Linked DNA regions of Daphnia pulex. The protein of the gene in region 2 interacts with the protein of the main gene of each other region in a pairwise test. Links are inferred from orthologs where the notes say so. Each region holds a gene or a part of one and is shown on either strand. Other genes may lie near its edges.

Region 1 (6,489 bases), on a different chromosome or scaffold from region 2:
GGACTTCTCTTGCTGGCGTGTCAAGATTATGACTTCGAACTTTACAGAGGGGTGAATTACACAGTTCCGGCCGAAGTGAATCAATACATTCGCTTCAATCGATTTTTGTCATCAAGTAAAAATTTGGAAATAGCTCAAAAATATGCTAACTCCTCTACGGGACAAGGGACGATATTTGTAATCCAAGGAACTAAACACGCTAATCACATTGCACCATACAGCACTGTCCCAGAAGACGAAGAGTACCTTATTTCCCAAGATGCGCAGTTCTTTGTAACAGATGTTGGAACAATGGTGTATCCTGATGGAAATGAGGCTATTCAAGTTACAATGTCTTTGGTCCCTTACACAACTGACAACAATATTTTTGTTGATTTGTCTAGAAAATAATCAAATTTCAAAAGGCAAACATTATTTCATTTAATCAACAGTTTTTAACATTAAATTGGCATATGTTAACATCTGAAATAAACAGCAGAAACAATATCTATCAAAATAAAATCCTCTTTGCGCTATGTCGTTTAGCAACACAACTTACCTCCTTTTCCAAACAATACTGAAGTGCCGTTAGTTTATACAAAGGTTCAGATTTTGTGGCATAATCTACCGAAACAACTTGTTCACGTACTTGTTTTCTAGTAACCAAGGATATTGATTTGTCCGTAACAACTTCAAATGTGAAGTGCTCAGACCGGCTAAGACCAGTTTCCTCACAAATGTTTCTGTTCTTCAAAATATTATTGCGTACCAATTGGAGGAAATCAAAGGAATAGCGACATGCTCATGCCCAATTCAGCTACGATTGTTTCCCCTCCTCCTATTGCCCTGATAGTTGACTGCTACAAATTCCATCGTTGCTTTTTACAACTTATAGACGGAGATTCACGATTGGCAAGCAACTAGCAAGTAGGGAAAGTAGAAGACCATCAAAATTTGAATAATTCCACAGAATTTGGGAACACGAATTATTTTTTAAAAATTACTTGATATTTTAAACAGTTAAATACGAGACACAAATCAACACACAATTTCTAGTGGATATAATTATCACTTGGATTTAAGTTTAAATTTACTACGAACGTTTTATGAAGATGTGTTTTGAAGTTACAGAAATCATTCTCATCCTTAGTGCTATTCGCAGAGAGGATAGGCTCACTCTAAAAGAAACGATGACTGTAAGAAGTTGTCTTGTTCACTAATTCAGTTTCTTTAAGAAAGTCCCGGTAAAAAAAAAAATAATAATAAAATCCTTGGTTGGCTGGCTTAATCTATTTAGATAGTAAGCCGCGAGCAGACAAAGAAAGAGAGCAAACTTACGATGAGAATTTAACCTGACATCGAGACCAATTCCCACACATCGTCGTCGAATCGTTTTGGTGTATACTGCATAAGTAGACTGTCTAGACCAACTTTTCACCTAGAAAATAAATTAAATATTTTGATCACCATTGTTTACTTATCTGTAAAACAAATTTTACGGAGAACTGCGCCAAAGCAATTTTGTGGGGAACACTTTTGACTTTTCAAATATTACACACAAACTAAACAGTTCGCAGCAGCAAAAATTATTGGTTTAAAATCCGGTGTGATCTCAAATCCATATGATTTTATAGCGTTGTCGCTCTTCGGAGAAACCAGAGATAAACTAAGTTATTGTGCATTCAATAGAAATCTAATAGAATAATTCCTGCTAGTAATTCATAAATACATCAAAAGTTAGAATAGCTAAGCTTCTTAAAAGCTTTCTTGGTAAATCACACAGATTGTTTAGTACTCTAACCTTCCATTAGGATAGTAGAGCAGATGAAAGTATTAGATTCATAAAAATAAGCAAAAGCAAAACATATGTTTTCTGATTTTTCTTCAGCAGCAGAGCATACAAAACAAGGTATATCAGTTAAGGTTTGGTGCCCACCAAAACCCCCTGATTGGCAACTTTATTTTCTCCTTCATTATCAGGAGCTGTAGATGGGAGTTCATTTTGATTTCGTATCCTGATATTATTCTTTTCCTTGAAGTCATTAATTTCTTGTCCCTTGGTGGAAATTTGATTATTGAGAACTTCAATTACTTTAGTCATCTATATAAAAAATAAATTGTAATTAAAATTACAACCAAATAATACAATATGAAAACAAGTTACCTGGTCCCTGTTTGATGTCAGTGCAGGCAGAACTTCTTTGACAGTTCGTTCAACTAGTACTCCACCAACCATGCGAAAGCACTTCCTGTCTTCATCCACATTTTGAAGGGTTTCTATTACTAGTCTGAGTAAGAAAAAAAATATGACATAGTTAATAGTAGGAGTAAATTATCCTCTACACGCTATGGAAGTCTGTTTATAAAGTGAAACCGGTAAAACTTACTTGTGCTCGTTTAGATCCATTTCGAGCTCAGATAATTTACTAGCTAGTTGTCTCTGTTCAGTTCGTAATCTTTGAAATCCTTGGATGACTTCTTCATTCGATTTGCTAACATTTTTCGGAGCATTTTTAGCTTGCTTTTTGCTTCCGTCAGTCGCCATTTTTTACGTATCAAAAGCACTAAGCAGCAGACAAACTTCAGGCTATTCTACTTCCTACCCTCCTAGTTCCTATTTGAGACTAGCGGTAGAATGTAGCGAAGTCGACGATCGACGATTGTCGAAATTGACTTAGGCCTATTTGCAGATTGCAGAGCACCGAGAACAATAATCGTCTTAATGATAATGAAATAATTTAATAATAAATTAGTCTTAGACACGAAGACGAAGTCTATAGAAAATCTGAGAAAAACGACAAACGGAGGAGGCGAAAATATTTCCATAATACCATCATACCGGCAACGCCGGTTGTTCTGCCGTTTGAATATTTTCCCATTTGTCCAAAACCGTCCAGTAGCAGCAGCACCGTAGTAGACCACGGTTTAGGGTTTTAGAGTTTAGAAGTTTAGACATTGGTATACAGGTATATACAATTACAACACATTTTGAAAATTTAGACCAATCTAAACGTTTTTTACGAAAATGTAAGTGAATAAGTAAGTTTGAACTTCGTGTTTTTGTAAATGTTTCATGTTTTGATTTTGAAATTGACAGATAACATGGAAACCAAGCAGCCACTTAAAGAGAACTCTTCAAACCAACCTACTGTTAAGTTGGAAAACTCAAAGTATGTTAGAATTTTTTGTTTTTCAGAATCCAACAAAGTGTTTCTCATTTATCTTCTTGACTTAAATATTTTAATTGTGGCATTAATCTTCCAAATCATGTGTGTTTCTCTGCTTGTTTGTTTCAACCCAGATGGAGTCTTGATAACTTCGAAATTGGCCGTCCTCTTGGTAAAGGGAAGTTTGGAAATGTGTACTTGGCTAGAGAAATCAATACCAAATACATTGTAGCCCTGAAGGTTTTGTTTAAATCTCAACTACAAAAATGTCAGATGGAACACCAGTTGAGACGTGAAATTGAAATCCAGTCACATTTACGGTACATACTAATGAGATCACATGTTTTATGGAAAATTTATATCACTAATGCACATCAACCTTTTCTGCGACTCTACTGTAGACATCCCAATGTTTTACGCATGCACGGATATTTTTATGATGAAACTCGTATTTACCTCATCTTGGAATTCGCCGCAAATGGAGAAATGTACAAGTACCTGAAACGCCAACCCAATGGCCGTTTTTCTGAACCACAGTAAATTTTTTAAAATAACAGAAACATAAGTTCTGTGGAAAATAATTTACCCCTATTTTTAGGACGGCCAATTACATGGCTCAGCTAGCTGATGCATTGATATACTGTCACGCGCGGAAAGTAATCCACCGAGATATTAAGCCAGAAAATCTTTTACTAGGATTTCATGGAGAAATTAAAATAGCCGATTTTGGTTGGTCCGTCCATGCTCCTTCGTCTAGGTAAAGTAAAATATGATTGTTTAGTGTAGAACCAAACAAATCGAAGTTATTTATGTTATATTGTTTTTGTTCAATAGGCGTACAACCATGTGCGGGACATTGGATTATTTAGCCCCCGAAATGGTAGAAGGGCGCTCTCACGACGAACGTGTAGATTTGTGGACTCTTGGTATTCTTTGCTACGAATTCTTAGTGGGATCACCTCCTTTTGAAGAGGAAAAGCAAGATCTCACTTACCGCCGTATTTGCAAGTATTAATTTTATCGCATAATTTGCCAATGTGGTTAAGAGGCATTCTAAGCGTTTACATTTTCCATGCCATAAATTCGTATTGTAGAGTTGACTTGAAATTTCCAGCACATCTCTCTACTGGAGCGAAAGACTTGATTGCTAAATTACTCAAACCACGAGCAGAAGATCGTATCCCTCTACGAAAATTACTTGAACATAGCTGGATTCTACAGCACCTTTCAGACGAAGTTCGATCCAGGTATGATTTTTTTTTTATTTCATTTTAACACTCGTCCTCAAATATATTTGTGACACATTACGTGTGTATTTCATCAGGTTACCGACTTTCCAGATAATGCAACCCAACAAAGCATAAACTTTGATATTTAATGGAACCATACATTTTTAAAGTAAAATTTTCAATTTGTAACTTTGATTCCCGATTGCCTTTATCTCTTCTCTCATTTATGTAATACAATAAATACTTTTCATAAATGCTGCTCGCACGTAAGTTATTAATGGCTAAGTTTATCATTCACATTATTACATCAAATATTATGCAAATTTGTACTAAGTTCGCCAGTCATCCTTTACATCCAATTCTTTCTCTATTCTGTTTCCAGTTACATCATCCTAGTAAATGTTAAAGGATGTAATTTTAATAAGAATTTGAATTATCCACTATAGAAAAAATTCACAATTGAAATTTATTTAATTATTTTAAAATGACATTTATTTTTTAAGCATCTAAAATTAGCTGCTAACGACGAAAGTAAGTTTTATTCATTGAATGAGTTCAAGAAAATCCCTAATTGAAAATTACCCGTCAAGTTAACTACAATGAATAAAAAAACTAGATTTTCAATAGAGCATCAGTCGTGAATCCCTTTCTAACTGGCAGTAATGATTAGATTTGTAATAAATTATGAGTGAGAATCCATTTTATTATAGCACAATAAACTACGCGGTAGGTACAACACCAGATAAATATTAAACATTCAAACAATAGATTTTACGAAGAATACTTCAAATAGTTGAGAAAAAACAGAATATGCTTCAAAGCACAACTGAGAAAGGACAAAGCTTAGTAATATATATGAAGGAGCAGACGTGGTTGTGGTTTAGTAGGTTGGCTCAGAGTAGTACTTCGGGGCTGCGGTGTAATAAACCGGAGCGGCAGCTGTGGTGGTGTAGTAAGTTGGCTCAGCGTAGTATTTGGGGGCCTCGGTGTAGTAAACTGGGGCAGCAGTAGTAGTGGTGTAGTAAGTCGGCTCAGCGTAATACTTCGGGGCCTCGGTGTAGTAAACTGGTGCAGCAGTAGTTGTGGTGTAGTAAGTTGGCTCAGCGTAGTACTTTGGTGCCTCGGTGTAGTAAACTGGAGCAGCAGTTGTGGTGGCGTAGTAAGTTGGCTCAGTGTAGTACTTTGGCGCCTCGGTGTAGTAAACTGGAGCAGCAGTTGTGGTGGTGTAGTAAGTCGGCTCAGTGTAGTACTTCGGGGCTTTGGTGTAGTAAACTGGGGCAGCAGTAGTAGTGGTGTAGTAAATCGGCTCAGTGTAGTACTTTGGTGACTCGGTGTAGTAAACTGGAGCAGCAGTTGTGGTGGTGTAGTAAGTCGGCTCAGCGTAGTACTTCGGGGCTTCGGTGTAGTAAACTGGGGCAGCAGTTGTGGTGGTGTAGTAAGTCGGCTCAGTGTAGTACTTTGGTGCCTCGGTGTAGTAAACTGGAGCAGCAGTTGTGGTGGTGTAGTAAGTCGGCTCAGCGTAGTACTTCGGGGCTTCGGTGTAGTAAACTGGGGCAGCAGTAGTAGTGGTGTAGTAAGTCGGCTCAGTGTAGTACTTTGGTGCCTCGGTGTAGTAAACTGGAGCAACAGTTGTGGTGGTGTAGTAAGTTGGCTCAGTGTAGTACTTTGGAGCCTCGGTGTAGTAAACTGGAGCAGCAGTTGTGGTGGTGTAGTAAGTTGGCTCAGTGTAGTACTTTGGAGCCTCGGTGTAGTAAACTGGAGCAGCAGTTGTGGTATAGTAAGTCGGCTCAGTGTAATACTTCGGGGCTTCGGTGTAGTAAACTGGGGCAGCAGTAGTAGTGGTGTAGTAAGTCGGCTCAGTGTAGTACTTTGGTGCCTCGGTGTAGTAAACTGGAGCAGCAGTTGTAGTGGTGTAGTAAGTCGGCTCAGTGTAATACTTCGGGGCCTCGGTGTAGTAAACTGGAGCAGCAGTAGTAGTGGTGTAGTAAGTTGGCTCAGCGTAGTACTTTGGTGCCTCGGTGTAGTAAACTGGAGCAGCAGTAGTAGTGGTGTAGTAAGTTGGCTCAGCGTAGTACTTTGGTGCCTCGGTGTAGTAAACTGGAGCAGCAGTAGTA
Region 2 (6,755 bases):
CGAGTCTTTTGGAAGGGATCAACAATTTGGCCATAGTGCCAGATAAGGATACAGCTTTATTGAATAATCACAGGAAGCGACGCAACAGTGATAGCGAACCATTTCCGTTTGACGGTCCCGAAAGTTGCACGCTATCGGAAACCGAACTCGATCAGATTCTTGGTCTCTTTCAAAAGTTCACAAAAGTGGACAAGAATTTTTGCAACGTGCAAAATGTTGAACGCCCAAAACAAATTGGACCTGCGACGTCAGACGCAGCTCCTTCAAAATCGACCGATAGTAAGGTTACACCCGTTGTTAATCCGGTAAAAACAACCGTGAAATCACCAGCGAGTTCGTCAAAAACGGTGGCTAGTCGTCCGGCATCCACTAATTCGACGAAGACAGCAATAAGTAACCCGACAAGCAATTCGAAATTGATCAGCAGCGCGTCCAAGCCAACCGTAAATTCGACAAAAGTGGCCACTAGTCCAAAGACCGGCGTTAAATCAACTGGGGTGGTCAGTCCGACAAAGTCAGCGACTAACTCAACAAAACCAAAAATCAGTTCCATTAAATCGGCGGCTAATGTGGTCCAATTGGCCGTTGGAAGTTCCACGAAATCCACAGCACGTAATTCAACGAAACCGATAGTTAATCCGAATAAAAATTCGACCGAAACAGCCGCCGCTAACTCGTCGGCACCTTTGTTAACCAGAAGAAAACGGTCACTGCCAACCAAATCGGGAGGAGGATGCAATAAGCTTATTGAATCAATCCAGTTAAGCACAAGCAGTGTCAGGAGCGCCTACTGTGATCTGTCAAATACCGAGGAGTTAGATCCTCGTTTCAACGAGAAGAAAGCAGCTTACGAGACCGAGGTTGCCCAACTGAGGGAGAAACTGGACAACAAAGACCTGCAAATCGAGCAGAAGTACAAAACCAAGATTGAACAATTGAATCAAGATTTTCAAAAGCTGGAAAAGAACATGCGGGACACTTTGGAGAAATTAGAATCCGTTGACAACTTATACAGGAGAGCCCAAGCAAAAGTCGTAATTGCAAGTTTGAAATCCGGTGATATCAAAGAAGCTTTGGAAGAGTTTGAAAAAATAGAGTCGCTAAACAATACGATAATACTTATCACGATTGCTCTCCAAGACGAATTTCGGATTCCAATCGAAAACGTCATCAACTTTGCTCGGGGAATGAAAGAGCTCGAAGCCGTGGTTCACGGCACAATACATATTTTCTACGAATTGGAAAAGAAACAAGGTTTTATTGAGAAAAAAGTAGTTTCCCCATTAAAAGAAACGGTTGAGGGAATTATGAAACAATTGGTAGAACGGGAACAAAAAGGTAATCTGGCCAGCAATATCGATCGGGCTACGGTTGGTCAATTGGTTCTTCTTTTTAACAAACTTGATTATTTGTTAGTTTCCCCTTTTAAATACAACTGATGACGTTGCTGTTGATTTATTAATTTGTGTTTTGTTCTTTTAGTTAGACTGTAATATTCTGTATAGTCATATAAATGAATACAACACGCATACTGCACTGCTTATCAATTTTGAGAGTTGCGCCACATGAGCTTGCTTATGCTATTCGATTCGGACTGAAGTTCAGCTTTTTAAGGGGGTTCATGTTTCTGTGTCAAAGGTCGGACAATATTGCAGGAAATCCAGCGAGAGGAATGATGTAAATCGTCTGAATACGCCTACTACGCATTCCTCCCCTCTCTAGTGAAAACATTAGACCAGTTTAAATTGGTGCGTGTTCGTATTATGGCCGAATCTTTACTAACTCTCTTAATGGCTAACCTCCTACAACTAATCGTGTTTATCTTTTCTTGGACCAGCGATCAGGATTTATTCCATACCAACGCAACCCATGAAGGATTCATAGCGGAAAACAGCCTCATCGACTTGTCAACTCAGTCTCCATTAGCTGTCGTCAGCAATCTATCATCAGCGTAAGTTAATTTACTTTTAAAGCCATTTACTTGCAAAAATAATCGACTGTGATTCGAAATAGATTCGACTGCCTTTCGCCAAATGAAAGGTTTTACATAATTGATGATCAGTTATCGTGTTTCCAGCTGATGACGCAAGGACCCTGCAGTAAATTTTTAACACACATTATTAAATAAAATAATTACAATTTAAATTTATTGCTATTATATTATGTTTTTGTTCGACCTCGAAGAACCTAATCAGCTATTTTATCTGGACTCGGACGACAGCGGCATCTGTGATTGCGAAAACAGTCTGTTCATCTATTCCGCTGAAACTGGCGAATGCTATCAGCAAAACTCCCAGGTTTTTTTTTATTATTATTAATTTTAAAGAGTGCGTAAACAATTTAAAAAATTAACTTTGTCTGTGATTAGGGACCGTGTAAAGATGGAGAATGGTTTACGTTAACCGACGACGGAATACTGTCGTGCGAAACGCTTCCAGACGGATGCCTGGCCGACGGACACTACGTATTTTGGAGCCCCGATTATGAAGGATCGAGTGAAGCAAGTGAAAAACAATGTTGGCTGTTGGGGAGCCAAGGACCTTGTTCCGAAAATGAAACGCTAGAGCGTTACGCCACAAATACCGTCGGATGTCAATTAAGAGCATTTAAGATTGGTAGGAGACCTCATCACGGGGGCAACGAAATTGATGAACGGAATCTGGAAGATAAGGAAGCCGAAAGTAGATCCCCATCAGGTAGATCCGTCGCTGTAGCCGGAATGCGTCCTTGTGGTCCCGGTAGCCGCCGAACGCAGACAGGAAAGTGCCGGCCGAATATCGGTTAAGTCACCTTTTTTTTCAAATAATTGTATTTTGTTCTTCTTTGATGAGATCCGTCCGATACAATTAATTCAGGTAATTTGAATATCGGAAAATAATTTGTTTCGTTATTGGTAATTACTTTTTAAAAATCTTGTTTTAGATCAGCATTCCATGGATAACCAACCCATTTTTAATATTGTCAAAGAAGTCAGAAAAACATAATATCGTTTAATGCATTTAGTCTAAATTTTTCGCTTGTTTCTTCATGTAAAATATTTGACACGATACACAAAAATACTTTAAAAAAATGCTATACATTACATATTCAATTCATCCTGAGTTCCTCATTAAAAGTTATTGATTAGACTTGTGCATCCTAGTAATTGATTCTGAAAGTATTCATTGTGTGAATGGTAAGCATAATTGTGCCAGTGCGTTGTGCATAGACTATCGAGTCCTGTTCGTTAAAAAGCAACGTTTTCTTATCGCTTAGTTAAGTTGCAGCTTATAGTGTCCTTATTGGCTGTCAAATTAAAAAAATGTTATTTAGTCTCAGTGTAACAGTAAAAGAGAGCTCTGTCTGGTGTCTAGTCAGATTCCAGTCCGCCCACACAATATCTGTATATCAAGAACCTCTGTATATCGAGATATCGAAAGTGATAAAAGGGAGTTACATCCTGGACTGGCCAGCAGATTTTGATGCTCGGTGACCCCCAGTACATTGATCTTTGCTGTTCTGAAGGATTCCTGCCTTTCCAGTAGCCAATAGGCCATAAGAGTTCAGACTATTCTCTGTGTGTCTCGCAAGATGATTGTAGACGATTGGAAATATATAGCGGTCTTACGTTGCGGCACGTGTCGTGTCACCCGGTATCTGTCGTCTGACTGATTGTGAAGAAATCGTCAACTCATGACGGAAGGTCGGAAAACGCACCACTGTCTGCCCTTTTCATACTCCTGATCGCTCCTGATCTTGATACCGATGAAGTAGAGACTGTCGCCGAGAGGCCGGTTTTTTTCCTCTGGCTCCTTCAACGCTGAATATTTCGCAATCACAATAACAAGGAATCCAATCCGTCTATACTTATTCCTATTTTTTTGCAACTTGAAAAAAGAATTCAAGTCTCAAATTAGAAACAAGATGCATGATTTAAAAAATTTCTCCGTGAATTCTCAATGACTGAAGGCTTTAGAAATATTTCTATAAATAATTGTGACTTCATTTTCAGGTGTTTTTCTCTGAAACCATCTTATAAGAACAGATGCTGTTTAGAAATGCTAAACGCCCAAACCTTTAAATCACGTCGTCTGCTCTTTTACACTGGTGGTGGTGGACATTTCCTTTTAAAGGTACACCCAAAATACTCGAATTTTTGCGGTTCTATATATTTGTATTTCTCGTTAAGTTGATAGATTCCAATCAAGTAACACACCTGTGAAAATGGCTGGTAATGCACAAAAAGATAAAGCCCAAGGAGGAGATAATATGCAGAAAATAGACTTGACCACTTTGACACTTCCACAGCTGTCTCAGTTAAAGCAGCAACTTGAACAAGTCATTATTTCATTATTTTATTTTATAGAATTATTTATAACTGCTTTCTTTCATTTTTGACTGTATAGGATTTAAGCCTGTACCAAGATTCTCTTCAGACTTTGAAAATTGCACAGACAAAATTTCAAGAATCAGCTGAAAGTGCTGAGAAACTAGAATCTACCCAGGAAGGTGCACCTATACTTGTTCCACTCACAGGATCTGTAAGCTAGATTAAAGTAATTGTACATATGATTTCTTGGTATAAGACCTTATATTTGATAGATGTATGTGCCTGGAAAAATCAGTAAACCAGAACAACCTTTGATTGATATTGGAACCGGTTACTATGCAGAGAATGTAAGTGCTGATAATCTTGTCAAAAGATTGAAATGGTTACTAAGTTTTATTGTTTAATGTTCAGACAATTGAACAAGCTAAGAGTTATTTCAGACGTAAAGTAAAGTTTGTTACTGAACAAATGGAGAAAGTACAGATGCTTGGTATTGAAAAGAGTCAAGTCAGAGATGGTAATTTACTTTGATATTATTTTTAATTTTCTCTATGTACTAAAGATTTTTTTACTGCAGCTGTTGCTGAAGTGATGGATTTGAAAGTACAAGCCCAAGTTGCCGCCAACCCTCAGGCTGCAGTTCGCGCTTAAACAGACCATCCGTACAGTATAATAAATGAATAATAAAATTTCATCATCAACAAATTGACATTTTCATTGCTTTAATTTTTTATTTCGATTCGTAATGAAGCTGCTGAGTCTCAAACAGTTAAACTTGCACTGTTAATAACATGGAGGAGTACAAAAAGGGAGATTTCCAATAGAAAAAACGATTTTGTGCATCGTTGTACCTGCCCGGTCGCAGATAAACTTGATGGCCATTGAACATACGCAACAACAGCGAAGTTAACACACAAAAAGTAGTTAAAAAAAATTGCCAAACCGAACATTGGAAATGGGACAAAAAAATTTAGGAATTCAGGTCTACACGGGGACTAGACAGCACATTTTTTCGCCTTGACAGAAAAAAATTATCAATTGTTACACTTTAAATTTCTCACTTTTGAAGCGGTGCAACATTAGTCCAGACCAGCGGATTTAGTCTATGTCAGAGCTTTTAACTAGAAGGTTGAGCATTATTAGCATTAGATATTTCGTCAGAAGAGGATTGATACACTTCCAACATCATGTTGCGCACTCGCTCCATTAACTCAGGTAAATCTTCCATTGTCATGCCTTTAGTAGACACTGGTGGTAATACGGTCATTACAATTTCACCTGGGTCAAACCGCTTTTGTTTGTGATCAAGAAAGTAGTAGTACGAGTAAACGACAGGACTAATAGGCAGCTGCGCATTGATGGCAATGTAGAAAGCACCTTTTTTAAATGGGAGCATGTCTCTTTTCCCGCTATTACGCGTTCCTTCTGGAAAGATCCATAACTTCAACTAAATAAAGCGCAAAACAATTCTTGAAATGCTACTCAGATTAATTAAAGAATTAAAATCAGAAGAAACTTACTTTTTTCTGCTTCACTTGCTCAGCTGCCTCATTCATTGTAGCGTGAGAATCGTGTGCTTTGTTTCTTTTTATGAAAATGGTTCCACAAAGACCTGCTACATAGCCAAATGGACCAATGTAATTTACCTCCTTCTTTGCAATAGCTGCACAACGCTCCATAGTGGGCCAATGAGTTATCATCCCTGATGTTGAGAATGAATTCATTGGAGTAAAAGCAATGTATAATTAAAAATAACTATATTACCAAGGAAATCAAGGCAACTTTGATGGTTTGCACAAATAATTGAACCATCATTCACAAAATTTTCTGGGTTCCGTAGGTGCACTTTCATTCCAAGAAGAGCATTTAAGAGGGGTCCAAGGAAATAAGCAACAAGTCTGTAAAATGAAAATGATGTTAGGTGCCATCTTTTTTAATTGAAATATTTAAAGTGCTTTACACTGTGTTATGAACATTGCCAGGCCTGAACATGGCAATAGGGATTAGGAACACAGCAGTTAGCATGACTATGGAAATGTAGAGGGTAAATCGAAAGTAGTATCTGAACCATGACTGTGTTTCATAAGTGATGGCTAGAACCACTAAGGAAACCAAAAGTACATCCCAACTGAAGAACATTTTCCTGATAATGTGCGGAAATTGTCGATAAGACAGAAGCGTCGAACCACGATAGAAAGGAATATCACGCCACTAGCAGGATGAAAAAGCCCGCCAGTCCCCTGTCAATGCAGGGGAAAAGTTGCACGCTATATACTCAAAGTCTCAATCACGAATGAAAGTAAACAGATCTCAAATGACTCGACCCGGAAGAATCTTGTTTCCGAAGGGAAAAAATCAGAAAAAAAAAATCTGTACGAAGACGACAACGGGAGGAGTAGTTAACAACCCCAACGAGTTTTTTTTTTCGTCTGCCTCAGACGTCATA

What was found.
Region 1: the proteins of prefoldin subunit 5-like (region 2) and prefoldin subunit 2-like interact in binary tests that used the Homo sapiens proteins (3 or more experiments, as listed by UniProt). The link is inferred for Daphnia pulex from reciprocal best matches to the Homo sapiens genes PFDN5 and PFDN2.

What each region holds. Positions count from the first base shown.
Region 1 is NC_060024.1:9,270,521-9,277,009, forward strand, and holds prefoldin subunit 2-like, read right to left. Parts: upstream 2,612-6,489; 5' UTR 2,525-2,611; coding exon 2,367-2,524; intron 2,268-2,366; coding exon 2,144-2,267; intron 2,081-2,143; coding exon 1,898-2,080; 3' UTR 1,845-1,897; downstream 1-1,844. Other genes in the region: uncharacterized protein LOC124199325, read left to right, coding at 1-390; aurora kinase-like, read left to right, coding at 3,082-3,149, 3,281-3,466, 3,548-3,682, 3,745-3,903, 3,981-4,154, 4,241-4,393, 4,471-4,510; uncharacterized protein LOC124200621, read right to left, coding at 4,758-4,767. UniProt on the Homo sapiens protein: Binds specifically to cytosolic chaperonin (c-CPN) and transfers target proteins to it. Binds to nascent polypeptide chain and promotes folding in an environment in which there are many competing pathways for nonnative proteins.
Region 2 is NC_060023.1:2,197,716-2,204,470, forward strand, and holds prefoldin subunit 5-like, read left to right. Parts: upstream 1-3,962; 5' UTR 3,963-4,112; intron 4,113-4,168; 5' UTR 4,169-4,203; coding exon 4,204-4,317; intron 4,318-4,385; coding exon 4,386-4,520; intron 4,521-4,581; coding exon 4,582-4,656; intron 4,657-4,720; coding exon 4,721-4,826; intron 4,827-4,886; coding exon 4,887-4,960; 3' UTR 4,961-5,014; downstream 5,015-6,755. Other genes in the region: uncharacterized protein LOC124197339, read left to right, coding at 1-1,439; 1-acyl-sn-glycerol-3-phosphate acyltransferase alpha-like, read right to left, coding at 5,427-5,756, 5,830-6,011, 6,074-6,207, 6,270-6,448. UniProt on the Homo sapiens protein: Binds specifically to cytosolic chaperonin (c-CPN) and transfers target proteins to it. Binds to nascent polypeptide chain and promotes folding in an environment in which there are many competing pathways for nonnative proteins.